4 linked regions of the Notamacropus eugenii genome follow. The protein of the gene in region 2 interacts with the protein of the main gene of each other region in a pairwise test. Links are inferred from orthologs where the notes say so. Each region holds a gene or a part of one and is shown on either strand. Other genes may lie near its edges.

What was found.
Region 1: the proteins of RALBP1 (region 2) and GPS2 interact in binary tests that used the Homo sapiens proteins (3 or more experiments, as listed by UniProt). The two-hybrid records come from large-scale screens. The link is inferred for Notamacropus eugenii from reciprocal best matches to the Homo sapiens genes RALBP1 and GPS2.
Region 3: the proteins of RALBP1 (region 2) and AMOTL2 interact in binary tests that used the Homo sapiens proteins (3 or more experiments, as listed by UniProt). The two-hybrid records come from large-scale screens. The link is inferred for Notamacropus eugenii from reciprocal best matches to the Homo sapiens genes RALBP1 and AMOTL2.
Region 4: the proteins of RALBP1 (region 2) and CEP57 interact in binary tests that used the Homo sapiens proteins (3 or more experiments, as listed by UniProt). The two-hybrid records come from large-scale screens. The link is inferred for Notamacropus eugenii from reciprocal best matches to the Homo sapiens genes RALBP1 and CEP57.

The regions. Positions count from the first base shown.
Region 1 is NC_092873.1:78,711,499-78,718,957, reverse strand, and holds the start of GPS2 (G protein pathway suppressor 2), read right to left. Parts: upstream 3,011-7,459; 5' UTR 2,579-3,010; exon of another isoform or gene 2,420-2,578; intron 2,068-2,419; 5' UTR 1,967-2,067; coding exon 1,873-1,966; intron 1,473-1,872; coding exon 1,363-1,472; intron 1,266-1,362; coding exon 1,126-1,265; intron 932-1,125; coding exon 852-931; intron 744-851; coding exon 661-743; intron 307-660; coding exon 156-306; intron 49-155; coding exon 1-48. Other genes in the region: NEURL4 (neuralized-like protein 4), read right to left, coding at 3,975-4,179, 4,491-4,659, 4,786-4,898, 5,580-5,724, 5,917-6,024, 6,327-6,414, 6,693-6,872, 7,274-7,432. UniProt on the Homo sapiens protein: Key regulator of inflammation, lipid metabolism and mitochondrion homeostasis that acts by inhibiting the activity of the ubiquitin-conjugating enzyme UBE2N/Ubc13, thereby inhibiting 'Lys-63'-linked ubiquitination.
Region 2 is NC_092875.1:233,698,682-233,706,661, forward strand, and holds the start of RALBP1 (ralA-binding protein 1), read right to left. Parts: upstream 3,007-7,980; 5' UTR 2,900-3,006; intron 1,584-2,899; exon of another isoform or gene 1,447-1,583; intron 638-1,446; exon of another isoform or gene 504-637; intron 1-503. UniProt on the Homo sapiens protein: Multifunctional protein that functions as a downstream effector of RALA and RALB. As a GTPase-activating protein/GAP can inactivate CDC42 and RAC1 by stimulating their GTPase activity.
Region 3 is NC_092876.1:334,135,045-334,142,594, reverse strand, and holds the start of AMOTL2 (angiomotin-like protein 2), read right to left. Parts: upstream 3,016-7,550; 5' UTR 2,632-3,015; intron 1-2,631. UniProt on the Homo sapiens protein: Regulates the translocation of phosphorylated SRC to peripheral cell-matrix adhesion sites. Required for proper architecture of actin filaments.
Region 4 is NC_092876.1:162,363,491-162,370,573, forward strand, and holds the start of CEP57 (centrosomal protein of 57 kDa), read right to left. Parts: upstream 3,020-7,083; 5' UTR 2,767-3,019; coding exon 2,734-2,766; intron 1-2,733. Other genes in the region: protein FAM76B, read left to right, coding at 4,088-4,174, 4,924-4,988, 5,307-5,361, 6,317-6,472. UniProt on the Homo sapiens protein: Centrosomal protein which may be required for microtubule attachment to centrosomes. May act by forming ring-like structures around microtubules. Mediates nuclear translocation and mitogenic activity of the internalized growth factor FGF2, but that of FGF1.

The sequences.
Region 1 (7,459 bases), on a different chromosome or scaffold from region 2:
GGGGCTGAGGTTGGGACAGGTACTGAACAGCAGGAAAAGCTGAAGGGGCTGAGGGGAGGAAGTCAGACATGGATAAAGACCATCCACAAGCCAAATTCTCCAAAATCTTCACTGCCTGTCCCACCCCACCCCTGTTTCTAGGTGTTTGCCCTCACCTCTGAGCTGTTGGCTGGGACTATAGCCTGGCTGAGTAGGTCCATAGTGAGGTGGTGGCTGGGCTGCCCCATAGGCCCCTCCTGGGCTACCCTGGAATTGCCCATGTTCTGAGGTTCCTGGAAAAGCTGTTGACCCCACAAAATGACGGGTCTGGAGAAGATGTGGAGAGTTAAGATTGGAAAGTGTTCAAATATTAGGTACAAGCTTACAACACACTGTCAGGATAAGTTGTCTGATTTGATAGCTGGAAATCATATATAGAAGTTGCAAAGCAATTTACATACATAATGTGTTTTAAAAATGAGACAAGTTCAGAGAAGCTAAGTGACTTTCAAGGGTCACGCAGGAAGTGTAAGATGTGTTCATCACCTTATCTACCTCTAAAATCACATAACTCCATAATACAATTTATAATTAGGGGAGATTACATTGACATTTTTACCTTCATCACAGCACATTAAATGCCACTGGTAATTAAAATGCCAGGGATCCCTGTCTGCTTACCGTGAGCACTTGGGGTCCAAACATCTGCTTGGCTCTATCAGCAGACATAAGGGTTCCTGGTCTGCTGTGTCCTCCAGGACTGCCTGTGATGAGGTGTAGGGTTCAGATGGCTGCAGGCTCTAAGGAGGTCTCAAACCACCTCCATGATCCTTGCCCCACCTATACCCACCCTTTCCCCTTGTCCACCTCACCCTGCATACTAAGAAGATGTGTCCCTGTGTGTACAGCCAGACTTTGTTGGTATGCTGCAGATGTAAGTGTTGTCAAGTCACTGAAGGGCAAATAAGATCAAAGATGACAAAGCTGTAGGCAACCTTGTAAGTTTTACAGATGAAGAAAAAGTTCCAAAGATATTAAATTTAAAAAATTAGAATGAGATTCCCTAAGATTTATATAGGTGGCATAGGATATGAACCTGGGTTCATTCTCTTCCTGATACCACATTCCCATTTCACAAAGCCATACCTTAGTCTAGGCCCTCCATGTCCCCACCTTTGCTCCTTACGACGCCTTTTCTCCTCCTCATGTAAAACTTTCTTGAGCTGCAGGAAGAGCTGGTGCTTCTCCTCTTGTAGGGCCAGGAGCTTCTCTTGCAGTTTAAGGATCTAGGAGGATCATGGAGACAGTGAAAAGGAGGTCGGCCAGAGCAGAAAGGGGAGCAGGGTGAGTAAAGAGATTAGTGTGTGTGTAAAAATTGCTTACCTGTTCTTTGGTCTCTTCCAGTGACATCCTTTCTTCCATTTCCTTTTTCTTCCTCCTCTCCTGTTCCTCCTTCATTTTCTGTTCCATCATCTTGTCTACCTCCTCTTCCTCTGGGGGAGGGGCATGGGGTTAAAACCTTAAAGCTAGAAGGGAATCTCAGACATCAACCCCTCATATTTAACACAGAAAACAGGCCTACGCAGGGAAAGTGACGCCTCAATTCAAGACCCCACAACTATGAGAACTGACAGTAGTTTTTCAAATCTGGCCTCGGGCACGTCTGAGCTGTGTGACCCTGGATAAGTCACTTAACCTGTTTGCCTGAGTTTTCCGTAACTGTGAAATGGAAACAACTGCACCTTTCTCGCAAGGCAGCTTTACAGGAGCTAGACGGACGCTTGCTCCTCCCCTCCCTCTGGAGTTCAGACCTCTAACATGCAAGGCCTCGTCCGGGATTGCCACGTGCTGCTGCTCCCTCGGAGCTCTGGGCTGGCTAGCACCCTCACTCACCCTGTCTCTTCCTCTCCCGCTCCATCATTATGTGTCGATGCAGTGCCCTAGCCATGGCATTGGAGAGCTTGGGGCGTTCCAGAAGGGCCGGCATGGTGACCCGCAGGGTGCTGTCACACAAACTGGGGTACGGATCCTGAGACTTGATCACTGACAGTCCAGTCCCAGAAATGAATCTGGTCACCCAGCGGAAATCTGGTTGGTTGGGGGATAAGCATGATCACAGAGGGGAAGCGGGGATCCTACCAGCGAAAGGGGAACCTGAGAGCCCTCCCCACCACCCCGAAGGCTCCACCGCGACCCGGCAGCCAGGCAAGGCTGGGGGGGTGGGGGTAGAAGGAGGCTGAGCTCCCCGTGCTTGGGACGGAGGGCAGACCCCCACCCCGCCCTGGCCCCGGACTCCGTCCGCTGGGCTCCGAGGGCGGGCGGGGCTGGAGGGCGGGGCCGGAGACAGCATCAGGACTCCGGAGGCGACACCGCTGGGGCGTATGGGGCAGGTCACGTGCTTCTCCCGTCAGGCGCCCCGCCACCCCCTCGAGCCCATCACCTGCTCCAGCCAGCGGGGTTGGGGTCGAGTGCCACACTGGGTTCCCCACCCTCCCCACTTGTCCAGCAGCTACCAGCGGTGACCCCGCTCTGCGCAGGCGCGACCAGGGTCCGAAAGTCTCGGACTAAACCTCCAGGCCCCCAGCCCCTCCCTACCTACCTCCTCTTCCTTCTCACTTCAGCCCTCCTACAGGCCTCACGGACTTCGTCATTTCCTGACTCGTGAGTAAGTACTTCCGGGGCCACCGATGAGCGATGGCGAAGCTTAGCACACTGCCTGAGTGGGGGAGGGGACGGAAGGGCGGAAGAGGCTGGGGAAAAGGGAAGCTACGGCGGCTGCGCGGGCTGCTCCGGGCTCGCCTGGCCGGCGCCCAGACAAACCGTGGAGGCGTGGAGTAAACGTAGCGGGCGCTGGAGTGGGATGTTTTGGGGGGTGCGCCGATCTTCTACCGTGTGACCCTCCCGCGTCTCCTCCCAGCGCTGGGAGGGCTCCTTCCCCCTGAAAGCCTAACCCCAAGGCCAGGCCCGGCTGCTGCTGGAAGGCGGGGGCCGGGGCCGAGACCCAGACGAGCCGTTCCGTGTTTTACAGGTGACGGGGCTTGCGCACCGGGATCCCTCAGCGTCCTTTAATGCTCACTAACGCCGCCCGGGCTTTCCCAGGCCGTGCCCTGGGAGGCCACGGGACGCACGCTCGGGGAAACGCTGAACTGCAGAGAGTGATCCAAGTGAGCGGCAATGCCGACCCTGAGGCACAAGGGCAGCGGAAGGTTCTGTGGCAGCCTCGGGACCGAGGCAGACGGCACGGGCGTTGGGGCCCATCAGTTCTCTCCTCCTAAGACTCTCCAGGACGTACACAGCATTGAGAGAGAAGACGCGGAGGACAGCGCCCCTTCCTGACCCCCGGCATCTGCTCACGGAGCTTCACTACAGCCTCGTGAAGCACATGGCCTTATCCCCACTTTGCAGTCAGGAAGTGACTTGCCCAGGCTCAGGCGGGACGCTCCTTGGAACTCTCCTGGACTAGGATTTCCCTAGATAAGTGCAAGTGGAGACTGGGACAAAGTTGTATCTGAGACAGGACGTTTATTTCAGTTCTTTAAGAAATCAGAGTATGTAACAGCTGTACAAGGGGTGGCCCCTTCTCCCCCGGCTATTCCTTCCCAATGGAAAAAGTTTCAACGGAGAGGGGAGGGAGGCAACTCCCTCTGGGGATTCACATTAACCAGAAACAACGCAAATAAATTAAGTGATGGGAGTTTCCCCAAATCAGTGCATGAGGAGAGGGGAGGGAAGTAGTGGGGTCAAGACAGAGAAGTGTTCTGGACCATTACAATTTCCCCAAATCTGTGGGCAATCCCCAACCCAGGAGAGCTACTACCCCCCCAAACTGGGAACTCCTCCAAACAAAAATGCAACGCCCCCTGGAAATCTGGGAAACTCCCATCATGTCCACTCTCTTCCCTGGGAACAGTTGGGGGAATGTATAAAAAGTTGGTGCTTCCAAAGTCCATAAACCTTCCCTGTCATTGTGCTTGGCAATATAGGCCCACATCCTCTCACTCCACTCGTACCAGCAAGGCATAGAGTAATGTGGCACCCTTTTCCTTGGTCACCCACTCAAGCTCAGCAGGGCTAAAGTGGGGGTCAGGAGGGCCCCCAAGAGCTGTAGAGGGTGGGCCAGGTGTGTAGGATCCAGGACGTACACACACCTGGAATGCCACCTGGGCCTGGTATGGCCTTTGAGATTTGGGATCCCGGAATCTAAAGACAAGAAAGAAGGAAGGGCCTGTTGGGACAGTATGAGAAAAAAAAAAAACATAGGAAGCAAAGGGTAGAAATGTGCAAATACATAGTGGAAAAATTGCGGAATAGAGGGAAAGAAGGAAGGGCATGGGGAAACCAACAGGCAAGGGAAAAGTGAGAAGAGGGAGATTGGAACCAAAATCTAATGGAAACAAGACATTAAAAAAAAGCAGGCTTAGGGACCCCACTCTAGGTTTCAGCAATGTCCCCCACTCCTTAGTTACCCCGACTTCAGTTCCCACCCCCACCCCCCAGTCTCCTTCACTCACTGCACTTTGGAAGCAAGGGCATCAATCCCAGCAGCATGCCGAAGGGAGGGGGAAAGCAGCACAGGAGGGGGCTGCTCCTCACGAGGAGGGACACAGTTTTCACCAGATTCTCCATACCCACACCCTGGCTCTGCCTTTAAAGGCCTACAGCTGAGGATTGAAGCACTGCCTGAAAGGAAAGGGTAATGGTTAGGGGTCTCTCCACCCTCTATACCTCCTCCTTATGGAAGAAGACCTGATTTCCCCCAATCATTCCCCTCAGCATCATCATACAACTTTGTTTATCCTTTCTTACCTGCCCCCAGCTCTCCTCGGTCTAGCACCCTCCGAACGGCCCCAACACTACTCCCATGATAGGCCATATGCCACTTCTTGGATAGTGCTGCTGTCTCCAATCGTGGATTCACTCTGCAGGAAAGAAATGTGTATGTCTGTGCTGACCTTGATCACCCCTCAAAGCCCGTTCTTTTCAAAGAGGAAAAGTTGGACTTGTTCTGTCCAACTGTCTTGCTGAAAACTGCCTGGTAAGAAACAGGATCCTAGGAGTATAGATCTATAGAGAATTCAAAGCCAGGTCTTCCACCTCCCAGGCCAGGTCACTTCTAATTGTTATCATACGCTAAAAAACAATTTCTGAACCTACACATCAAATAAAATAGGTATCTGCACATATATAATAGAACAAAAAGAGAATTGTACAAGAAGCTGCACATTTCTAATAATAGCTGCACGTAAGTACAGCTTGTTTTTTCTTTTAGATGTTCAACTTGTAGCTTTGTCCTGCGCTTCCCTATGCCGACCTTTTGTTTTTTAAAAAGAAAAAATTTCTCCATTGACCCTTTTTTTTTCCAATGGTGTGGGAAAGAATGGTATTAGGAAGGCAAAGGGGGACTAGGGAGAGGGCCGCAAAAAAAAAAAGCACACCTCGTAAATTTATGCCACTTCCTTGAATAGGAAATTGTATATCCTATTGAAGTGACATTTTCTAGACCTAAAAATGAAGGATAAAAGAAAACTCTTTCTGCCCTCCCTGGGCATCGAGTCCTAGGCTGCCCCAGGCTTCCACCCCTCCCACCTTAAGCCACATGCCTGAGGTTAAAGCGGCACCAGCCAAAGGGCAAGGCATACTCTTGTGGCGGCTCCCCCCGACGACGATGTGCCTCATCGCCCCGAAGTTTCCGACAGGACTCACAGTAGCACAGGCTTCGCTTGGGGGGTGGGACAAAGTAATCCTCTGGCAAAGAAGAGAAAGGTTGAATTCAGGGGCTATATTTCCTAAAGAATCCTTATTTCTATATCTCATCTGTGTCAGCCTTCAGAAATGAGCTCATTCCCTCCTCCCCCTCTCCCCAAACTATTTGGGGGTTTGAGGAAAGCAACTCTAGTGTCCCAAGAAAAGAGAGTTGATAAAATGATCAAGTCTCACCTGGCAGTAGCAGCAACTCCTGGAACCGAGAGCAGAGGGCATGGTATTCACAACTCTTTAAAGGACTGGCATCTGGAGGTGGGGCCCAACATACACTCTCTTTGATGCCTGAAAGGTAGGGCCAAATCAGAGTAGGGAAGGTGTGGGGAGAGAAGAAAACAGTAAAATGGGGACTGGGGGGAAGATGGGAGCAGGGCATATTTTGGGGACATCTGCCTCATTCAACTTCTTAAGTGACTGCGTTTGGGAGGTGGGGGGAAGGGAGGAGTCAGGAAGAAATGATTCTCTGGGGAAGAAGCAAAGAGTTTCATATTAAGGCAACGACAGGTGTCCAAAAACAGAAGTAGAATTAAGAGTAACAAAGTACTCTCCAGCAGGATTGTATAGTACAGGCTCTCCCTGAGCCTCACCATCTACCACATCAGCCTTCTCCATGTCCCCCTGGATTCCAGCTCCCTCCCCATTGGCTGCTCCTGTCTCAAGGCTCATAATTGTCACCTGGAGAAGAAGAAGGGTTGGTTAACCTTTGGTCTGCTGCTCTCCCCTACCACAAAGGATTTTCTCAATCCCACTGTACATCCCTTCCCCTCCCATCCAACCCTTCAGCCTCAATTCCTTTTCCCTTTAAACTCCCCAGTTTGTCCCATCGACCCCATAAAAACTTCACTACACCCCCAATTCTAACTTTTTAAATCACCACCACCACCATGCTCCTCTAACTTCCTAGATTCCTCCCCCCTTCCAGCACTGTTCCTGACCAACCACCCCCTGCTGACCTGCTCACACTGGCCATAGAGGTCCACTAGGGCATGGCAAGGCTGGGGCACCTCAGCCACAGCCACACCCTGGTCCACACCATTGACATAGAGGTGCAGCCCCCCAGACCCGTCCAACCTCAGCCCCAGCACCGTGCCTTCTGGGCACGTGTCCAGGTTTGGCCCATACTTCTCGCAGATCTGGGGGACAGAAGCATGAGAAATGAGCCACTTCTCAAAAACCCCCACCCCTCCAATATCAATACCCAGTCTCCAATATTCTCATCTGGTCACCCCACAAACATACACTTCTTTATACACTTTTACCCTTTTATTCCCAGGCTTCCCTTCTTACAATCCCCTCCCCCAACAATTGTTCTTACCTTTTCCCCACTCAGGGCCCATTCTCTGGGTCTATCTATTACCTCTTCTTTAGGTTCACATTACCTTTGTATTTTACCCCATTTGTTCCAATGACTCCCCAAATTCCTATACCATTCCATTTTTCAGGGCCTTTTCCTTTCCTGATATCCCAATTATCTCCAATCACTGGATCTGCCTTGCCTACAGGACTGTTCCCCTTCTTTACATGTCCTGCCCACCTTGAGGCCATTATGGAAGACACCCTGGCCCCGAAGTAGCCAGGCGGCCCGTTTGAGGGCACAAGCTGAAGCTGGGAAGTTGAGCCGCTCAGGGGGGCAGGCAATGACTCCAAGGGCCAGGGATGAAGTCCACTGCCGGTTCAGGAAGTCCAGCCGCACCTGGGGGAAGCGGGAGATTACCTCCTA
Region 2 (7,980 bases):
GGCAAATCACTTTACCCCAATTGTCCAATTGCCCCCAAAAAAGAGTGTTTTAGCATAAAAGAATCTGAAAAGTGAGTTCAAAAAAGCCTTAATCCTGAAAAGAGGAGGTCAAGTTAACTAGTATTTGTTAAACACCTACTATGTACCGAGTACAGTGCTAAAAGTCAGGGATACAAAAAAAGAAAAGAAAAACAATCCTTTCCCTCAAGGAGGTCACAGTCTAACACGGGGAACAACATTGTAACAAATATGAACAAACAACATAGGATACATTGGAGATAATCTTAGAGGGTAGGGAAGCTTTACTGAAGGATCAGGAAAAGCTAGCAAGTAAGATTTCAGCTGAGACAGGAAGGAAGTCAGGTAAGCCAGGGAGGCAGCAGGTGAGGAGAAAGAGTATTCCAGTGGGAAGAAAAAACCAGTGAAAAACAATTGGGGGAAAAATGCTGAATGCGGATTCTGAGAACTTGGACTCAAACCCTGCCACTTATTTAACCACTCACCTGTAAAGTGCAGGGAGTTTTGACAGGTTGGTGACAGGCTGGTGAAGCGTGTGGAGCTTAAAAAACGTTTTAAAAAAACTAAATAAAATTATAAATTTCAGCTAGAGACTAGTGAAAATAAAAAACGTAATGTTTTTCCATCCAAGTTCATGAACTCTATGCTCTGGGTACAATGAGCCTTACCTTAGGAACCCCCTGTACTAGATAACAGCATTTCCTAGCCATCCTTCAAGTTTGCAACTCGCTTTACAGGTATCTCACAATCCTAGGGGATAGTGTTTTATTATCCCCATTTTACAGGTGAGAAAACCGAGGCTCGGAAAGGTGAAGTGACTAGCACACAAATAACAAGGGTCCAAAGCAGGATCTGCCTTCCAAAGCCCATCCCAGCTCTAAATCTAGGATTCTACCATCTCTCCACCTTTTGAAGCCTAAATCCAGGGGCCACCGCAGCGTCTAACGGCACACCCTGACATCCTAACGGGCTTCCATCCCGGCAGGCGAAGACCCCCAACGCCTTCTCCGGGTCCCGAGGTTTCCTTTGGCTCTAGGTTAAAGGCTGACTTGGGGGGCCCCTTTGGAGGTCTCTTAGCACTGAAGGTGAGAAGAACGAGCCTGACCTCCTGACCTCCCAGACACCCCGGCACAAACGCGGCCGGACGAGTCCAGGCAAGGAGAGGCATCCCGGGGTAAACTGGGGGCGGGGGTGAGGGCCTGACACCCCGCTTTTCTCAAAACCACGCCCCCAACCCCCGAAGTCAAAGGTGAGGGGGGCGGCACCTGACAAGCACTGGGGAGACGGAAGTATCAGACCCTCACGTGGTGCGGGGACCGGGAAGAGAAGGGGCGCAGCGCCCGGTGGAAAGGGAGGGGGAGCCCCCCCGCCCCCTCCCCACAGAGTGCGAGAGGGTCAAGGGCTGCGACTCCCGGGCACGCGACTGACCTGCCCCAGCCGCGGTGCGACCGACCTCTTCCTCGCCGCCGCCGCCGCCTCGCGCTCGCGCTCACGCCGTGGCCTCCGCCCCCTCGGCCGCGCCACGGGCAAGCCCCAGGCACCCCATCGCCACCCCACCCAAGCTTTTCTACGCCGCCGCCTGTTTACAATGACTGGGACGGAACGGGGCCAACCGGGCAACGCGCAAGCGCATCCCCTCCTCCCGCCGCTGCCGGCTTCCCCGGTTGCCTCTACTCCCTTTGGACGACGGCGGAGGCCGTCAAAGACACGACGCTCTGTGCCCTCTCGCGGAGGACGTCGGGAGCTGTAGTCTCGGAGAGATCGAAGGGCTCGGCTTGGTGGAGGAGTCCCCTTCGGCGGTGAACTACAACTCCCGGAAGGCGTCCCGCCGTGGCAGAGCGCGCACATCTCGTGCGTCTGCGCACTGATCGCCGGGGGAGGAGCCGCAGGGAGGGATGGTTGGACGTGTAAGTTGGGATGAAGTGTTTTTGGAGAAGCGCTGCAGCTTGTGCGAAAGCGCCCCACCTGGAAGCCTTCCCAGAGTCCCGAAGGGGCCATCCGCCCCTACCTGTGCTCCGCTGGCCAGACCCTCCCTTTGCCCCTGCGGGCTTCATTCTTCCCGGCCGCCAGCTCCCGAAAAACTAGTTAAACCAGTTTCAAAGCGCAGCCCAAGTTCCTGGCCGGGGATGGGACGCCTTCCTGGCATCTGGGAGGGTGGGGATCGCAAAGGGTTTACGGGGGGTGGTACCAAGAGCTGGAGCTGGCACCAGGGCGGGCGCTACCTAGTACGCACCTCTGCAACAAAGCGAGCAGAGGAATTATGCTGAGTTAGTGATGGGGCGGGGGAGGGGAGACACTAGGGGAGGAAGGAGGGAAGGGAGATTGGGTCCTAGGGGTACCATCCGATCTGCGTGACCTGCTTTCCTCCACCAACTTAACCTGGCACAGTGATAAGAGGGCAAACCCTGAATTCAGACCAGGGAGACCCGGTGACCCGCATGCACACCTGGATTAACGAATCATAAGAAATAATAAGCGAAATTGTCTACAAAACCTGCAAGATGATAACCACTGGAGAACCAAGAAACTCCATAAAACGCTAAATCTCTCCCATCCTCAAAAGCCCCCCCCCCCCCCCCACTCATTGTAGTGTTGATGCATCCATCAATGACAAAGAGATGAGAATCACCTGCTTCCCTAGGTTCAACCATCACCTGGGTAAATAACTCCCTGGATTTCCCCAATTAATTTAAATTCCTCTAAAACTGGATTCGAATTTTTCCCCCGCAAACTCCTCTGGACATTTGTTAAAAATTTATATGCATATAGCACTTAAGAGTGAAAACACATTACCATCGAGTCTGAGATAGATGATACGATTATTATCATTCCCCATTTTAGAGATTAAGAAATTGAGAATCAGAGAAGTTATATGACTTACCCAAGGTCCAACGCTAGAAAGTACTCGATCGGGGATTCAAAACCTGGTGTCTTGACTTAAAGTCCATTAGGAACTTTATATCATCACACCAGGCTGCCCTTCATTCTCCCCACCCACACTGAACTTGGAAATCTTTTCTAACTCCTCCCTCCTCCCCACCCCCTGCAATCCAAACAGTTGCTGCCTCATTAAACTAGAAAAATGTCAGAGCTAGAAAGGACTGATTCTGCCCTTCTAATTTCTCTTTTATGTGTTCCCATACTTGGCTTTCTCATTGCCCTATGTGGTATCCTCCAATCTGTCTTTAACTCAATGAGTTTTGTTTAGTAGTACTTGTTGAATAAAGTGAATGAAGTATGCCAAATAGCATATTATTAATCTCTAGTCTTTATATTGTTTTTAAAAAATAAAATGCATAGATAATTCTTCTCCCACATGCACCTCAATGATTTGGTGAATTATGTATGAAACCAGTTATTTTAAAATTAAGGTAGGCACCACCTTATTTCCTCTAGGCACAGATGTGATCATCATAGATTTAGAGATGGAAAAGATTCTAGAAGCAATTTTGTTAGACATTTTACAAATGAGGAAGCCCAGAGATGTTAAAGAGCTTCCTCTAGATTTCACAGAAAGTAAGTGATAGCTAGAATTTAATCTCAGGTTTCCTTGACTTCAGCACTCTTTCCATTGCATTACACCCATTCCCTTAGTTGATGCTTTCTACAGAAATAATGGTTTAGTCACAGAGTCAAAGACCCAGAGGGTTTCTATCTCATTCCAGGTGATGGTACCAGGTCAATTACAACTTTGTGATGTATTGTGTCTGTTGTCTTTGGCAACATGTAAATAATGTAGAAAGCAATTCTTTATGATAAAGGAATTAAATTTATTGAATTTTATTTTTGAAAGTTGAACCTGAATCTGCAGAATATAAAGAGATTGAGAAAAGAATATAATTCAGGTTTTTTTAAGCAAAGATCTATGGATATTAGAAATCATCTAGTTCAATCATCCTTCTTTAAAATAAAGGAAACAGTGCTCAAAAAGGTTAAGTGACTTGCTCACCAAAGTCAGACTAGTGACAGCCAAGATTCAAGTCAGTTCAAGAAAACATTTAGTAAGCACCAAGGCTCTATGCTAGTAAGAAAAAAAGGATGAAAAACAATACTCCTCAAACTTAGGAAACTTAAAATCTAATAGGAGAGGAAGGATTTTGGACATGTATACAAATAAATATGATACAAGTATAAGATGGATAGTCATATGACAGCAAGAATCAACCAACAGACCTTTATTAATACCTACTATGTGTCAAGCACTGTGCTAGGCACTAGGGATACAAAATAAAAAAGTGATCTCAGTCTCTGTCCTCATTCTTTTGGGGGACTACCACAAATTCACAAATAAATAAATATAGAATTTATGCAAAATAAATGCAGAATGATTGGGTGGCTGACATTAACAACCTGAGGGAACCAGGAGATGCCTGTTGTAAAAGAAGTGGCATTTGACCTAAACCTTTATATTAGTGCATCCAAGAGATAGAAGTAAGGAGGGAGAACATTCCAGAAATAGGGAACAGCCTTTATAAAGGTATGGAGGCAAGAGATGGAGTGTCTTATGCTGAGGATAGCAAGTAGCTGAGCCAAAGTGCCTGAACAAGAGTAATGTTTGATCAGTCTAAGAAGAAATGCTAGAACTAGACTTCTAATGACTTTAAATAGCAAACAAAGGAGGCAGTAGGGAGTCACTGAAGCTTTTTGAGCAGAGTGACATGGTCGAGGACAATTACTTTGACAGCTGTGTGGGAGGCAGATTGAAAATGGATGAAGAAAGATCAATTAGGAGCCAGGGATAAGGTGCAGATCTAAGCATTGATGAGATTTTGCAACTGATAGAATATGGAGGATTTGGGAGAGTGAAAAATTGATGACTCCTGGAATGTGAGACCGGATGATTGGAAGAATTTTCTTTAACAAAAATAAGGTAGTTAAGAGGAAGAGTGGTTTTAGAGGTAAAAGAATGAATTCTGTGTTAGATATGTTGAATTTGAAATGTCTGCAGGACATTCAGGTAGAAATGTTCATCTAGCAACTGAAAATTAAGGAGAAAGATCAAGGCTAGATCTGTAGATTTGGGAGCCATCTGTATTTAGATGATAGTTGACTCCAAGGGAATTAACTGGAACCCCAAGACACTGAGTGTAGAAAGAGAAGAGGGGAGTACTCATGACCAAGCATGACCACCCACATATAAGGAACTGGATATGGATAATGATTCTGCAAAGGGGACTGAGATGTCCAGCAAGTAGGGAAAAAATCAGAATAGAGAAATGTCACAAAAACCCAGCAAGGAGAGATTATGGAGAAGGAGATGGTCAACAGTGTCAAATTATTAGAAGAGGTCAATGCAGGGGAAATGTCATCATTTACTATTTTGTAATACTTCCCATTACTATTTTAGCAACTGTGACAGAACTACATTTCCCTTCTTTCCTCCCATCTGCAACATGGGGAGGTTTTACCTAAAAGAAACAAAGTTTCCCTTTCTACATAATTTAACTATATGATTAGCCCTGACTTCTCTGATACAGCTTCCTGTCATCTAAGGGGAATATAACATGTCCTGGAATCCAGGTCCCTCAGATTTGATGGATTTTCTCCCTCATATGGTATCTATGTCCCTTATACTTGATATTTTTATAAAACTCAGTCCAATAAGGTTTACCTGCCCTGCTGATGTGACCTATCCATTTAGAGCCAAGGGGGAGAAAGAGGACTGTACTTAAAGAAATTAAGTGCCACTGTAGCCTTTTATTAAGGCTTTTATTAAGTAAATCTTTTCTTAAGTAAATCTCCAGTGACTTCTATGAATGCCTCATTTTGACCCAGCATGCATCAGAGAGTGGTAGCATCAGAGTCCAGCCTTGGACATCAGCCATATAGGAAAGTGTCTCCTAGAGGATTATTGAAGCTGTGAAACAATTTGCAAGGCCTAAGCCCTCACTTCTGGGGGCCTAATTATGGATAAATGAAAACAACTTCTGTATTTTTATCCCCAGCCTCAGGAAAACTAAGCAGGCATTCAGCTATGCTGTTGAATGAAGCTGGAGAAAATCACAAACCTGTGCTAACTGGAATTACTACAAATTTATGTTGCATAACCTCAATTTCACCCTCACTACCACAAGGAAATCCTTTTACCCTTCTCTGGTTGGCTCACTATCCCACTCACCACAGCAGCTCTACCAAATATTTTTATCCTTCATCAAGCCTCCCATAGTTCCACTTTCACCCACTCTCTGAGCTAAGAACTTTAAAAAAAAATTCATATTTTATTTTATAAATATTTCATATTTTCAATATTGTTATATTTTACTGAAAAAATTTAGACCATTTTTTGAGAGTTCACTATTATCCCCTCCTAATGATCTGTCATCACCCAGATGCCTTCACCTCTGTCTCACTTGAAGAGGTGGTCCTTTTCATGCCAAGACAAACCCTTCTACAATTGACTCCATTCCATTCCATCCTATCTTCTCTATCAGATTTTCCCCTCTCAACTCCATTCTCATTCATCTTGAATCCCTTCCTGTTTTCTGGCTATTTCCCTATTGTCTACAAACATACCCATTTTTCCCTATCTTCAGAAAAATCTTACTTGATCCATCTTTCTTTCCCTACTAGCTATCCTCCCATATCTTTCCTCCCTTTTGTGGCTAAACTTGAGAAGACTAGCTAGAATATTTTCTTTCTTCTCACTCTCTTCTTGACTCTTCCATCTGGCTTCTGACTTCATCATTCTAACAGAACTACTCCCTCCAAAGTTACCAATGATTTTTGATCACCAAATCAAATGTCCTTTTCTCAACTCTCATCCTTCTTGACCTCTCTGCAGCCTTTGACATTGTTGGTCACCCTCTTCTTGATATTCTCTTCTCTCTAGGTTTTTAGAACATTATTCTCTCCTGCCTCATCTGAAGGCTCCTTCAACCTTCACCAAAGCACTCTCACCAAAAGTAGGTGTCCCCCAGGGCTCTGTTCTGGGCCTTCTCTTCTTTATCTATGCTACTTCACTCGATGATCTTATCAGTTCCTACGAATTCAATTATCATCTTTATGCTGATTGTCCTCAAATCTACTTATTAGCCCTGATCTCTCTCCTAGCTTCCAGTTGTGTATGTCCAATGGTCAATTTGAGTTCTCGAATTGTATTAGTCCTACAGGCATATTAAACTCAATATGGCCCAAATTGGACTCATTATCTCTCCCCACCACCCAAAAAACCCCTTTCTTCCTAACTTCCCTATTACTGTTTGGGGTATCACCATTTTTCTAGTCACCCATGCTCAAAACCTGTGTATCATCTTTGACTTTCTCATCCTTCATATCCACAGCTGTTGTCAAGTCCTGTTGTTTCTACCTTAGTAATATCTCTTATACGCACCTCATTCTGTCCTCTAACAACGCCAGCACTTATCATCTGATAAGACCCTTATCATCTTAAGCCTGGACTATTGCAATAGCCTATTGGTTGGACTAACTGCCTCAATTCTCTCCTCATCTTTGACTTAACTGTCAAATTGGTCTTCCTAAAGTGACCATGTTACACACACACACACACACACACACACACACACACACACACACACACACACACTTAGTAAACTACTGTGGCTACTTATCAACTTAAGGATCAAGCATAAAATCTTGTTTGTCATTCAAAGGCTTTCATAACTTACACTTTAAGCCCCTCCAGTACTCCATGATCCAGTGAAACTGACCTCCTTACTATTTGTCAAACAAGATACTTGATCTCCACACTCCTAGCATTGTCACTGACTGTCCCCTATGTCTAGAATTGCCCTCTTCTTCAACCCTGTCCCCAGCCTCCTTGACTTCTTTCAAGTCTCAACTAAAACTCAACTATGAAAAGCCTTTCCTTAATTCTAGTGCTTTATCTCTCTTGATTATCTCCAGTTTATCCTTTATATAGCCTATTTTTACATAGTTGCTTGTTATCTGACCATTTTAAGCATAGGGGGTGCTTAAAAAATGTTTCTTGACTGTCTAACAAGA
Region 3 (7,550 bases), on a different chromosome or scaffold from region 2:
TATGTGACATGGGGAGGTCTGTCTAGGTATTAGTTACCCCAAAAAAAGAACTGGTACAAGCTAAGCTGATATATTTGAACCAATGTCATAGGATGACCTTGGGGATCATTCTGAGACAGTGAATATTAGAAATAAGGAAGGAGGAAATGACTATGGAGTGCCAGATAATGAAAGAGGAAAGGACTGGATATGAATTATGGTATTGTGAACAGAGGCTTTATTTAACAAGCCACTGGGAACAAGAAAGTCCTGCCAACAAGCACTAGTTAAATCACATGGTCCCTGTAAGCAGCAAACTATCCCCCTTTTACCTGGCCCAGCTTACAGTATCTTAATATATCAGACAAATACAAGATGACAAAGAGGTAATTTCCCTAGATATTTTTTATACGTTATTTGGACAGAGTCTAACTGGCTCTCCTCCTCAGTCTGTTGATAGTAATTCATAATAGTTGTAGTCATAATTAACAGTAATAGCACATTCCCTACAGAGGCAGTACTATGGGTAAGGAAATGCCATGGTTTCAAAAAGGCACAGAACTGAGTCTAGCAGGGGCTCAATGATCGATTAAGGTGTTCTAGGGACGAAGAGTTTTCCAATATCTGGACTCTAGGAAGCTAGCGACTCCTAAGGCAGCTGCATCATCACAATATTCCCTAACTCTATAACCATCAAAACCCAAATCCATTTGTACATTAAACTCATTTTTAAAAGAGAACTCTATGATAATGACTCTGAATAGTAGCCATTATTTCCCAAGTCATAATGAAGTGACCATCTGAGAGAGGTGGGTGAATTTGTGGATGTTTCTGACTCTCTAAGCCAATGAGATATCTAGAAATCACCAGTTTAGTGTGATAGTGATAATAATATAATAATATGAGTAGCTAGCATTTATAGAGAGCCTGAAGGCTTGCAAAGCACTTTCTCATCTTCACAGAAATCCTGGGAGGTTAGGTGTTATTATTATCCCCATTTACAGATGAGGATACTGAGGTAGACAGATGTTGAGTGCCTAGCTCAGGGTCACACTGCTAGTAAATTAGTAAATGTATGAATGAGGCAGGATTTGAGTTCAGGTTTTCCTGACTCCAACCTCTATCCACTGTGTTACCTAGCTGCTCCAGAGTGAGAAACTACCATCCTCCCTCCCTTCCCTCTCATTTCATGCTAAACCCCACAACCCAACTATGACACTGGAAGGATCTTTGGCTAAGTTAGAAATTGCATAAGTAGTATAACTTTCCACCCAGTCTTTTCATCATACCAGCCTACCACTCCTAGGGCAGGATTGAAGAGATTCTGAAATCCACAATTTACGAGAACCAACAAAAATCCTTAGGAGTCAAACCACTTTTATGTTTCACAATTACCAGAGCATTTTCTACAGTAATCACAGTCTAATAAATAGCGTGCTCACTAATGAAGACTGTCAGTGGAGAATAATTAGGACAATCCAGAATCTACCTTAGACACACCATCACTTGAGCTCTCAAAAGGTGTACCATGCAAGTTGTCCTATCTTGTGAACAAGCTAATAATGTTTTTGTAATGTTGGACCTGATAAAAAAAACCCATTAATCTCAAATATCAAATAACTAAACCATAAGGTCATTATAAACTACAAGTCCTTCTTTTAGGTTAAGGAGGGCCCTGGAGCTATAAACCATTACAAAAATAATAATCTCCCCTTAAAGTACTTATTTTCTGGCTTTTTGTAACACTCAGTGTTCCACTAAATAAGGCGGGGTGGGGGTGGGAGAGGGAGAAAAAACGGCCGGAAAATTCTCTCCAAAATACTGAGATTCCTACGTGCCTAAATTAAACCACACTTTCTACCAACTTCTGCAACAGAGTTCCAAAACTGTAACTGGATCCCCCCCATACAAATAACTTCTGAGTCAAAAACGCTCCGAACTCCTTAGTTTTAGAACCAATTTGAACACCAATTCACCTCAAAAGTGTACGACCGATTGCCATCTGAAAAGTATTTATATTTCCTTGGCTGCTCTGGTCCCTCTTTGTTTTCCAAATATTTCTGCCCTGACATCATCAGGGTTTGGACTGCAATTAACATTCTTTCTAAGTGAGGGCCAGGCTTATGGCTCCGGAAAGCATTTTTCCAAACAAGACAAAGAGGATTTCTTTAACTAGTTGGGGGGCAAAAGCACCTGTAACTCAAGACTAACCAAATAATCCTTGGATTGCTCCCCCCCTTTCTTTAATCATTTCCAGGCCTTTCCCTCCCCTCCCTAGCGCCTCCCGTTTCCAAATACCAGAAGACTTGGAAATCCATAGGTTTCAAGGGCATCGCAAGAGCCAGGGTCAAGAGCTAAGGTATCCTTCCTCTGCCCCCCAAGTATCCCTCAGGCTGGAATGATCAAGCTTGCGGGAAGATTTCCCCAATCTAAATCGCAGAAAAGCCGCCAAGAGTCGTGCAAAGGGGAAACCCAGTGTAGTCGAAGCACCGGGATCGCGGACGAATGAGGAGCTCTCTCGGCTCCCAATCATCCGCTCCCGCCTCCCCTAGGTTCTCTCTGCATGGCCCCGAGAGCTCGCTCCCTGTCTCCCGGCTGTGCGCTACGAGACACTGGCAAATAGAACGCGTCAATTTCCCTGGTGAAACTTACCAACCCATAGCCTGAAAGCCTCAGTCCTAGAGTCTCAGACCCAGCCAACAGAAGTTGCCGGGGAGCTAGCCGTACAGAGCTCTTTCGGAGGGAGAAAATGCAGAATGCGTGCGTGTCTTGGCTTATCTGCGGCCCCTTCCTACCCCTACTGCCGAAATGCCAAAACAAAATTTTAATAATAATAGTTAAAAAAAAGAATTGGAAAAATCAGAGCAGCGCAAGGAAAAGTCCGCACGCAGCTCTGAGCTCCCGGGCACGGAGATCCTGCCTCTGTGACTGCTGGAAGCGAGACTGCGCTCCTCCAGCTGTACCGCGAGCCACAGAGGTTGGACTGTGCAAGAGGCGGCAAGCTATGCCAGGAATGTGAGAGTTTCAGGTTCCCCCTTGGGATCAAAGCTAACCACAAATAACCTCTTGCGCTCGCCCCATCCAGCGGCAGCAGTGAGAGGCTGCGCACTGCAGGGGCTACTAACTGGGCTCCCCCGCCCCCTTCACCACATGGCTCCATAACCCAAGGAGCGATTCTTCCCCCAATTTTTCTTCTTCTTTTCTTCTGAGTTCTTCTTTCTACTTGGCTCAGGCTTCTAACTGGCATTAACTCATTCATTCCCAAATGAATATTTGTGCCAGTGGAGTCTCCAATGGATATTTTTGTTGGACTCTAACATCTAGGTAGTATTTAAAATTTTAATTTCCAATGAGTGCAGACCGTCTAAATAAGGAATTCTTAACTTGGGGTCCGTGAACTTTTTTTTTCAATTTTGATAACTATATTTCAACATAATAGGTTTCTTTTGTGTCCCGTATAATCCTATGTCTTTTATGCATTTAAAACTTTTATTCTGACAAAGGGTCGTTAGGGCTGCACTAGACTGCCATAGGGGTCCATGACAAAATAAAGAAGGTTAAGAACTTCAACTCTAAGGAAAGTTATCTGTTTTTTTTTAAAGTTTGGGTTCAAGCTGCAGATCTTTTCTATGGGTAAAGTCTGCAAAAACTCTACACATGCTATTTGATTCTCAAACCCCTTTCAGATAGATGTTAATATTATTCTCACTTTACAGATGAAGAAACTGAGGCAAAGAGTTAAGTGACTTGCCCAAGGTCACATAGCTATTAATAAATTGTCTAAGGCAGAAGTTAAACTTAATCTTGGTGACTCCAAATCCAGAGTTCTATCTCTTACGCCCCAGCAAAAGAATTTAATCCATTTCCAAATGCTCTAGGCCCTCACAGAATAAAATGAAATTGGGGAATATTCAACAAAACAAATAAAGATATGATTGAACATAGTAAATGTTAACACCAGGTTTCTTATATACAGTTTAGTGACCCCAGTTTCTGAGTTTGACCCAATCATGTTTTGGTTATTGCTACAGGGGCAGGTACAAACAGGAAATTGGGCAGCTATTTGGATAATTTTCTTTAGGTTGTTTTTGTTTTTGTTTTTTTACCTTAAAGAGAGGCAGCAAAACAAACCCAAATCTAAAGCCTTTTCTCTCAAATAGACCAATGATATTCATTTGTCACCTAATTGCTGCATTTCCCTACCTGCAGTTTACAGAGCTTCTGCCAGTGCAGGACTTCCCATGAGATATTTAATGGCCAAGAAGCCATTTACTAAGCCCAGTGTGTGTGTGTGTGTGTGTGTGTGTGTGTGTGTGTGTGTGTGTGTGTGTGTGTGTGTGTGTGTGTGTCTGTGTGTGTGTCTGTGTGTGTGTGTCTGTGTGTGTGTGTCTGTGTGTGTCTGTGTGTCTGTGTGTCTGTGTCTGTGTCTGTATGTCTGTGTGTGTGTCTGTGTCTGTGTGTCTGTGTCTGTGTGTGTGTGTCTGTGTGTGTGTGTATTTTTCTTGGAAAATAAATGCTACAGTACCACTCCTATGTCCATAACCTAAAGAGATCATTAAAAAGGAAAAAGGACCCACATACACAAAACATTTTGAGCAGCCCTTTTTGTGGCAGAGTTGGAAACAGAAGGAATGTCCATCAATTAGGAAATGGCTGAACAAGTTGTAGTACATGAAAGTAAAGGAATACTATTGAGCTATAAGAAATGATGAGCAGGTGAATTTCAGAAACACTTGGAAAGATTTATATGAACGTATGCTGAGTGAAATGAGCAGAACCAGGAGAGCATTGTATATAGTAAAAACAACATTGTGCTAGCTTTGATAGACTTAGGTCTTTTCAGCAATACAACGATCTAAGACAATTCTGAAAGATTCATGATAGAAAATGCTATCCACATCCAAGGAAAGAAGTGATGGAGTCTGAATGCAGGTAGAAACATTCTATTTTCCTTTTATTTTTTTGTAGTTTTTCCCTTTTGTTCTGTTTTTTCTAATACAACATGGCTAATAAGGAAACATGTTTTACATGATTGCACATATATAACATATCAAATTGCTTACTGTCTTAAGGAGGAAAGAGAGAAAATTTGGAACTCAAAATTTTATTAAAAATAAGAATGTTAAAAACATCTTTACATGTAATTGGAAAAAATAAAATACTATTTAAAAGAAAAAAAAGAAAGTGGATGCTACAATTCCAGGAGGGAGGATGGTCTGGTGGAATTGGAATCTGGCCGTGTGGGGATGAGTTCAGGGTCTGATGCTTTGGAGCAGCCAGGGCCATGCAAGATGAGTCCCTGCTTCTGTGAGCCTCTATCTTTTCATCTCCAAAAAAAAGAAAGAGGGGGAAGAACCAAATAATCTCTAAGATCATTTTATCTCTCACATTCTGTGAAAAGTAAACAGGGTAAAGTTATTTTTTTTTTAAAGGAAAGAATAATCTTTGAATTTTGAGCCCCTGAGTTGATTTCCTGCCTTTGGTGCAGGCCCACATACAGGTGCTCATTACGTGGGTGTCCATAGGTGTCACCTTATATTCCTGGGCCTCAGTTTTCTCATTTATATAATAAGGCACCCCTTACTCCCAGACTAGAAGTCAAGGTCCCATCCAACTCTAGATCTGTGTTTTTACATAAAACTGAATTTTGTTCAAAATGAAGCTTATCTAGAAGAAGGCACATTAGTCAAACTCCAAGGTCTCAACAAGGGGAGCAGGGCACAAAAGAAAGGACACTTTAATTTTTTTTTTTTTTTGGTGCTATTTCATACTACTTGTCTCAGGGGTGGGGAAGCTACAGCCTCAAGGACACATGTGGCCCTCTAGATCCTCAAGTGCAGCCCTTTGACCGAATCCAAACTTCACAGAACAAATTCCTTTAATAAAATAATTTGTTCTGTAGAACTTGGACTCAGTCAAAAGGCTATACCCAAGGACCTAGAAGGCCACATGTAACCTCGAGGCTATAGATTCCCCACCCTTGTCTTAGATGCACCTATTTATAATGGTAAAAAACTCATTCCCATACTCTGTAGGCCTTTAATTTGTGAAGAGTCAAATGTGATATTTATAGGAAAGCCCCTGGTGGAGAATAATACAAAAAGGAACCCCCAATGTCCAAACCTTGCCCTAGAGCATACAGATACCTAGTCAGCCCAGCTTTGGGGGTGGGGAGATTGGGGGTGGGGAGGGAGGAATGAGATTTGAGAGAACCTGGCAGAAATTTTCTTCCTCTCTTGTGGTTACCACTTGAACATATTGCTTCCTGAGTTATCCTTACTGGATAAAAAAAATGTTAATGACCAGAAAAAATTTAAAAATCAACAGACTCAAGAGAAAAGGGTCCTTGGATTCCTTGTCCCTACAGCCCTTAAGTGTAGGTGTGTTTCTCAGCCTCTTCTTCCTCAGCTAAACCGGGCATTTGGTCTTCCCTCCTGTGACATTCTGCTAAATAGTAAAACCACGTACTTATTTTCACCTGTGCCTGTGTACGCCTGTACACGTTCAGCATTTCTCTTCTCTGCTGTGCTGTAGACTGACATGGTTACCTAGCAAGCAAAAATAAATAAATAAATCGCAGGCTGATGGCAGCAAATCATCTTCTAGCTTGAGGATGATTAGTGGGCCTGGCAGGGAGAGAATCCAGAGACCACCATTTTGAAATCTTTAGCTCTCTTTTTCAGGGTCTCCAGGAGTCTTGGTTATCAGGAGAAACAAAACTGGTGGTCTTTGTGCTGTCTTCTGCAGCTCCCAAATTGGACAGCCAGATTCCAGTATAAGAAACATAAAAGGAGGCATTTACCATCCAGGCTGTACTCTCCTAGCTTTGTGGTACCCTAAAACAAAACTAAAGACTGGGAGGTACTGGAGAAGTAATCCCTGGAGAAACGTAATGATAAAATAGGTCAGTAGACTGAAAGGTTGATCAGAAAAAAAGATTATGCTAAAGTCAACTGGTTGTTGATTCACAAGTTAATATTAACTGAAGATAGAGGGAGAGACAGAAATAGAGAGAGAGAGAAAGAGAGAGAGAGATGAGAGAACTAGAGAGATAGAAGGTAGATGTAGGTAGGTAGGTAGGTAGGTAGATAGATAGATAGATAGATGGATGGATGGATGGATGGATGGATGGATGGATGGATGCTGTGTGTGTGGTTTATAGCTGACTATGTGGTCTGCCCTGTGCCCATGTGCTGCAAGGCAAGTTAACTATGTGTATGTTTTTGGCAACTGTCTAGACACTAGCTTTGCTTGGAAATGGTGAGTTGCAGCCCATGCATCTGTGTGAGCTAGAGTGATTCATTTTTTTGAGGAAAAGGAAGACATGGCCTATAGTATTGTCATTCAGAAGTGTTTGAGGAAACACCCAAAAAAAGTCCATAAAATATGAAAGACTGTCATCTAAAGTGTCCATCTAGACTTAAGTTAAGCAGATATGTTGCAGATAAATTAGAACGGGCACTGGAAAAACTGCAAAGCCTTTTTTAAAAAAACAAAAATTTCTAAGGGGATAAACTAGTGGAATGATTACTGCTTTAGAGTCAGAAGACCTGGGTTCAGTCCCTGGTGAT
Region 4 (7,083 bases), on a different chromosome or scaffold from region 2:
CTTAACAGGAGGACAAGAAAGACACAAGGTGAGAAGGCCCGAGTGGCCACAATCTGCACTTCTGAAGGTAATATAAACATTAGTGAGCTCAAAGACCCACTACATTATTTTCTACAAAATCCTGTAGCATTGGGTACATAGTAGGAACTCAGTTATTCATTTACTTCTTCAACAAATGTTTAATCACAGAGCTCTGTCCTGGGCCCTCTTATGTTCTCCATGTTATTTTATTGGTTTTCTCTTTAGCTCCCACAAATTTAATTATCACCTCTATGGTGATGTTCTTGTATCTACTTCTTCAGCCCTAACCTCTCTACTGGTTTCCAGCCTCACACCTCCAACATCTCAGAACTATATTCCCATAAACATGAAAATGCAATAGGTCTAAATATGAACTCATTATCTTTCCCCCTAAATCTTTTCCTCTTCCTAATAGTTATCATTCTTGACTTCTCACTCTCTCTCATTCTCCATAGCCAATCTGTTGCAAAGACCTGTTGATTTTACCTCTCTCATTTATTTTTTGTTTATTTATTGTTTCTTTCTCTTCTCTGATAATGGCACCACTCTGGTGCAGGCCCTCATCACTAAGGCTTATTTGTTATATGGGCTGCTGGTTGGTTTTTCCCCTTAAAACAAACAGATGAAGTGAGATGAAACTGAGTTCATTCTGTACTCAATTGCCAAAGTGATCTTCTGTGTTCCAGTGATACTGGCTTCTCTGCTATTTCTCACACAAGACACAAAATCTTCTGATTCCAAGCATTTTCACTTAGTGTTCCCAATGCCCAGAATTCTCTTAAGTTTCAGCCAAAAATCTCACCTTCTACAGGAAGTCTTTCCCAATCCCCCTTAATTCTAGTGCCTTCCCTCTTTGATTATCTCCAATTTATCCTGCATATTTGCATGCTGTCTCTCTCATCAAATTACAAGCTCCTTGAGAGTTGGGAATGTATTTTGCTTTTGGTGGCACAGTAGATAAGAGTACTGAGCCTGGAATGAGGAAACTGAATCAAATCTGGCCTCTGACACTACCTGTGTGACCCCTGGAAAGTTACTTAACCTGTTTGCCTTAAGTTTATCTGTAAAATGGGAATAATAGCACCTGGGCAAATGAGATAATTGTAAAATGCTTAGTCACAGCATCTGGCATATGGTAAGTGTTATATAAATGTTGTTATTATTATCCCCAACACTTAGCACAATGGCTGGAACACAGCAGATGCTAAATAAATTGTTTACTGACTGTATAAAACATGATGGGAGATAAAAAGCATACTAGACATGGTCCCCTTACTTCCACAACTCTGCAATTTGGTAGGGGAGGTAAAACATAGCTACATATGCCAGTCATATAGCTATAGAAGGATGGAGGCTAATCAGGAAAGGCTTTATTAAAGTGGAAATTTCAACTGGGACTAGAAGAAGAATTAGGATTTTAGTGGAAAAAAGAGGAAGGGCATGAGCAAAAGTGGGAAGCCACAGGAGTTTATTGAGGAGATAGATGTGATCAGACTTGCATTTTAGGAAAAAGACTTTGGTGATTAAAAGGAGAATGGAATGAAGTGGGGAGAGACTTGCGGCAGGCAGATCCACCAGCAGCTATTACAACAATCCAGCAATGAGGAGGTAAGGGCCAGCACCAGAGCAGCGGTAGTGTCAGAGGAGAGAAGTGGGCATATTTGAGAGAATCTGAAAAGGTCAAATGACAATGGTTTCCAACCTTCGTTAGAAGATCTCTAGTGAGAGTACCCAAGTAGCCCACTCCATTTTTGGATGTTAACTGTAAATGTTTTTTCTTAAATTAAACCTAATCTGGCCTATTTACCCACTGTTTTTTGTCAAGCTGAATGACCCTTCTTATGACAACTATCTATATATCTCACAGGATCACAGAACAGGGGCTTCAGAGGCCAAGACCTCCATTTGACAGATGAGGAAACAGACCCCGAGACTTTTAGCCATTTGCCCAGTGTCACACAAACAGCGAATAAATGGCAGAGCCAGGATTCCACCTCGGCTCCTCTAATTCCAAATCCTCTTTCCACTGCACTACCCAACCTAATTCTTCTCTTTTCCATTCAACTACGGTCCTTCTAAGTACTGTGCAAAACTGAACCCACATATGATCTGACCATTTTAACGACCCTCATTACGTATGCTATTAACGAGACTATTAGGTTCCTTAATTTTCTTACTCACTATGACACACTTCACTCAACTTGAGTTCGGAGTCCACTAAAAGCCCCAAATCTTTCCAGACACGCCTCCCCCTTCCTGCATGTGGAAACATATTTTTAAAAGTCCGAGCGTAAGATTCTACACTCGTCCCTACGGAGCATCTGCTCAGTTACATTCTGCCACCCGGAGCAGCATTCGGGCCGGCCCGGGCTGGGGAAGCCAGGCGGACCCGGGGGCGCGCTCACGGTAGCACGCAGCAGCCCCGGCGGTCCCCACGGGGCCCAGCGCTCAGCGTGAACAGCTGGGCCGAGGGAAGGACCCGGCCGGCCCAGGGGGCAGAGATCACTTCACCTCCGGGGGCCAGGTCAACCCAGGGAGCCTAGAAGCGAGAGATGCTACGGAAGGGTCGGGGAGAGGGAAGGAAAGAGCTGGGGAAACTCGGGGAGCGGAGGAGGCCCCCCAGGGACCCGACAGGACCCAGGCAGGAGGCGTCGGGGCCACAATGGGCCCAGGGGCGTCCCTGGCCCCGTTCGAACGCAAACAGTTCCTTACCGCGCATCCAGAATAGCCAGCCGACGCCGCCATCTTCCCGCCTGCCAGCAGGCTCCTCCTACGGGGAAGGCTGCCCGAGTTCACCAGCCCCGCCCCAAGGCTCGTGCCCCGCCCCCACGGGGAGATCCGCCCCCCAGCAATCAGAGCCCGGGCCACCACCGAGCCAGCGGCGGGCTGAGGGGGAAGGGGTAGGGGTACAGAGATGAGTTAGGCAGGCGGAGATTTACCCCACCCTCCCCCCTCGCGCGCGCGCGCGCCTTACGCACATCGAAAGGACAACAAACCTGGATAGGCGTCACAAATAACCAATCAAAGAAGAGGACACCGTCCGGGAGCGGTGGGGGGAAGAACCCGCCCTTTCCCCAAGATGACGCCACAAGGTGTCGGATTGAGAGCGAAGAGGGCCAATAACAAAACAGGATAATTCCAAAGGCGACGCAAGGAAGGGGCAGGGCTGGGTTACGGGGGCCATGGGGCCAAAGGAAACTTCTCCGGGTATTGTTTTGGTTCGGTGTCTTAAAATGGCCATCCAAAATCGATAAGCCGAGCTGACGTAAAAGGCCTCGGATGTACAAAACATTCCTATTGCTCAAATTCGAAGATGAGTCTGACCGTGGTTTGGGGGTAGGTTTTACCGGGCGGTGCTTACCGAAGTACGACCAATGATGAGACAGTATAGAAGGCGCTCAAAGTACTCGGTCCAATCGAAGTCAAGAAAGAAGAGTCAGAAGAGCAGGAGGGAAAAGTCTTTGGTGGGCATTTGCCCAATTGGAGCGCAGAGTCCTCCCCCCGAACACCGGATTGGCCACTAGCAAGCACAACGACGCAGGCCTCTAGGCCGGGGAAAGGTTTTGAAGCAAGTTTCGCGCGCGGACGGCAACGAGCTGCTATTGGTTGGTGACCTTCTTCCTTTGTAGGGGCTCTCGGCGTATCGGGGTGAGGGTAGGGGAGTGGCGCCTGAGTGACGTAAAGGCTGCGACAGCCAATCCGAAAGAGTACAGAGAGAAGGAGAAGGAAGCGGATCTGTCGCCTCGCAGCTAATCTAATCCTCGACTCTCCGTTTAGTCTCCCTCCGCCACCGCGGTCTGGGCCTAAGAGGGAGCGGCCGGGAACCGTTGCGGGGTCGGGAGGGCTGGTGGCGAAGCAAGGCGGAGGGAGACGGCTGTGGCGTTGGTATTTACTCCGCGGCGCTGGCAGTGCTGTAGCTGGGTCCTAGCGCGGAGTCGTTGTGGCCACGGGGCGGGGGTTGAGGGGGGAAGCATCGGGAGGAGCGCGCGGCCGGGCCCGGGTGCCTAGGCTGCCCCGGAGGGCCCCGCGTTGCAGCAGGCGGCAGAGGAAGAGGAGAAGGAGGAGGATGGCGGCCTCGGCCTTGTACGCCTGCACAAAGTGTACCCAACGCTATCCCTTCGAGGAGCTCTCCCAGGGGCAGCAGCTCTGCAAGGTCCGTGTGCGCCGGGCGGGGTCTGGTCGGACGTGGCCCTGGGAGGGGGCTGGGTGTCCCGCGCTCCGCCTCCTTACCCCAGTCGCCGGCGCCTCGGGGGTTGGAGGAGTCCGGGACTTTTCTGTCTGCGCGAGGCGGGGCGTGAAGGGAGCCCCCCACCCACCCACCCCCGCCAGGTGGCCTGGGCTCAGGGCGGAGATCTCGGGGTGGGGCCGACCCCCGAGGCTGCCAGCCACCTGTCTCACGCAGGAGGTATTTTTGTCGCTGTCTCTGCCCTTTCAGCTCTCCCCTTCCGGGATGTAGAGATCACTTTTAAATCTCTCTCTCGAGGGCACTGAATGGTGACCTCTCCGTCACAGAAAAGCAGAGCGACTTGCTGGCCATGGCACAGAGTATTGGTCTCATTCGGATCTTCTCAGATCCGATGAGAAGCAAGTGTGAGCATTTGTAAGCAGCGTCGCAGAACAGTAAAAAGCATTTTCACATAGACTCCACCAGATTACCATCGTATTTAACCCTACCAGCGACGTAGAGAAATTTAATAAACACAAAGAGACCTATCTTTCCCATAAGGAATTACAGCATATTTTAATTGAACAATTACGTGTTAAGACGTAGTCCAACTCTACCTGCAGAGCCATTATACTCTTGTTTTGAAATTATTTATAGAGGTTTGCTCTTCTTCCCCCCTTGGAGAGGAGACTTGAAACTGTATGCTAAGCGCTGATTGCTGTATTAATTTCTTACAGGAATGTCGGATTGCGCATCCTATTGTAAAATGTACTTATTGCAGATCAGAATTTCAACAGGAAAGGTTTGTATATAAATAATTAAAACCTTTAAAGATCGTAAAATTTTTCTCCAAGATGCACTTTTACTAGCAATAATCCCAATTTTGTGATTATTTCTTACAAAATACTGATCTCAAATTAGTTTGGAATATTTGCTGATAGGACCAAGAGTTAATGTTGAAAAACAATATTTACTGTTTTAAAAAGCATCTGAAGAAGTACATATAGTTTGAGATATTCCTTACGTGTTGTAATCAGCTGTGTATGTTCATCTGTGCAGTGTATCAGTGACTTAAAAACCGTATTTAAAGTTAATTATGGCATGTGAATTTTTCTTTCAGCAAAACTAACACAATTTGCAAGAAGTGTGCGCAAAATGTGAAGCAGTTTGGGACAGTAAGTCTGTGCCTTACTTACATTTTCACTTTGTCACTGAACATTACCTATCAAATGATGTTTTTTATTAAAGACAAAAGCATCTGGATAGAAAGTACATGTTAATTTTGGGTGCATAAATAGTTTTAACATACATACTTGAAATCATTACTTGATAAATTTAATTAAATATTAAAGCAACAGATTGAGAAAATCAAACCCTCTCCAATGAAACTAACAGTTTTTTTGCCCATTTTAAATCTAGAGTTTGTGAAGCCATACTTCCTGTGGGAAAAGCATTTAAACAAATATAGTACTCTTATTTATACAGAACTTAGTTGTTCAGAATGTTGGGATCTTCCTGTCTTTCCTTCCTTTCAAATTACAGCATTTCATGAGAGAAGGCAAATATCAATTAGTACAAATTCTTATATACATATACTTAGCATATACGTATACTAAGTACATACATATACTTAGATCCACAATAGTATATAGTTCAGCATAGTGTGTTGATGTTCATTGTCTGGACCTTAGTTTCTACAAAATTCTGAAATGTTTTCTTGTCAAAGAAAGATGAGATATTTGATGTGGTTTGTGTGCAGTGTACAAATTTTTTCAAAACTGACTGGGTATATAATAAGTTTTGAATTAAGATGACTCCTCATTTAGTGTGTCTAAGAAGTTTGAGAGTGTGCATTTATTTTTTTTACATATTGTTTAGTGTTTTTTAAAAAACACAACTGTTACTACTAGATTCATATATTTCAGTTTTCCCAAAGTGCAACAGTGAGATCATAAGTCCAAAAAGAAAACAAAATGTCCATGAGTTGTGGTTAAATTGGAACAGTTCACTTTTGAACACTACTCCCAAATGTAATAAAGTATTTGATTTTTCTTTTACACTGCAGTATTAGAAGGATTTCCAGCATTAAAATGCCTAAATTAAAGAAAGTTGTGTCTCTGTTAATTTCAGCCCAAACCTTGTCAATACTGCAATATTATTGCAGCATTTATTGGCACAAAGTGTCAGCGTTGCACAAATTCGGAAAAGAAATATGGACCACCTCAAACCTGTGAACAGTGCAAACAACAGTGTGCTTTTGATCGGAAAGAGGAAGGAAGAAGAAAGGTAATTGTTGTTGTTCATAATACTGTGACATCCAGAAATACAATCATATCACTGATTTGAACTCAAGATAGAATTGATATTATTTGCATATTTCTGGGTGACTGGTTCCATTTGTATCTACATGAGGCATTGTCAAGACAGCATTAAACCCAGGAGTCGAGTGTTTAGTGACTTCTGTAGTTAACAATATTTTTGAGTCATTTCTTAATTTAAATGTTTATAGATCCAAAGTTTTTACTTAGTGCAACAACATTTAGTCTTAAGTCAATTTTGGATTTTACACAGATTGGTGTAATACCTCTTTTCATTCCTTCAGTCAAAATTGAGAGTTTTGCTTTTGTGAAAAATATGTATTAATTTATTAGCCAGTGTACAATATGCACTGAAGTGTCAGTAATGGCTTAGTAGGTACCTTCTGCTGAGATTTCTAGAAATGGAACAGAAATTTAAACTTATAGGAACAGGAGGAGGATTAATTTGCCCTTAATGGATTATATATTCATGAGTTCTCATTTCAGATTAATTCCACAAACATCAGGAGCTGATTATGGCACAAAAATCTCACCAAAAACTAAATTAAAATGCAATGCTGAAATCTATGTGAAGTTGAG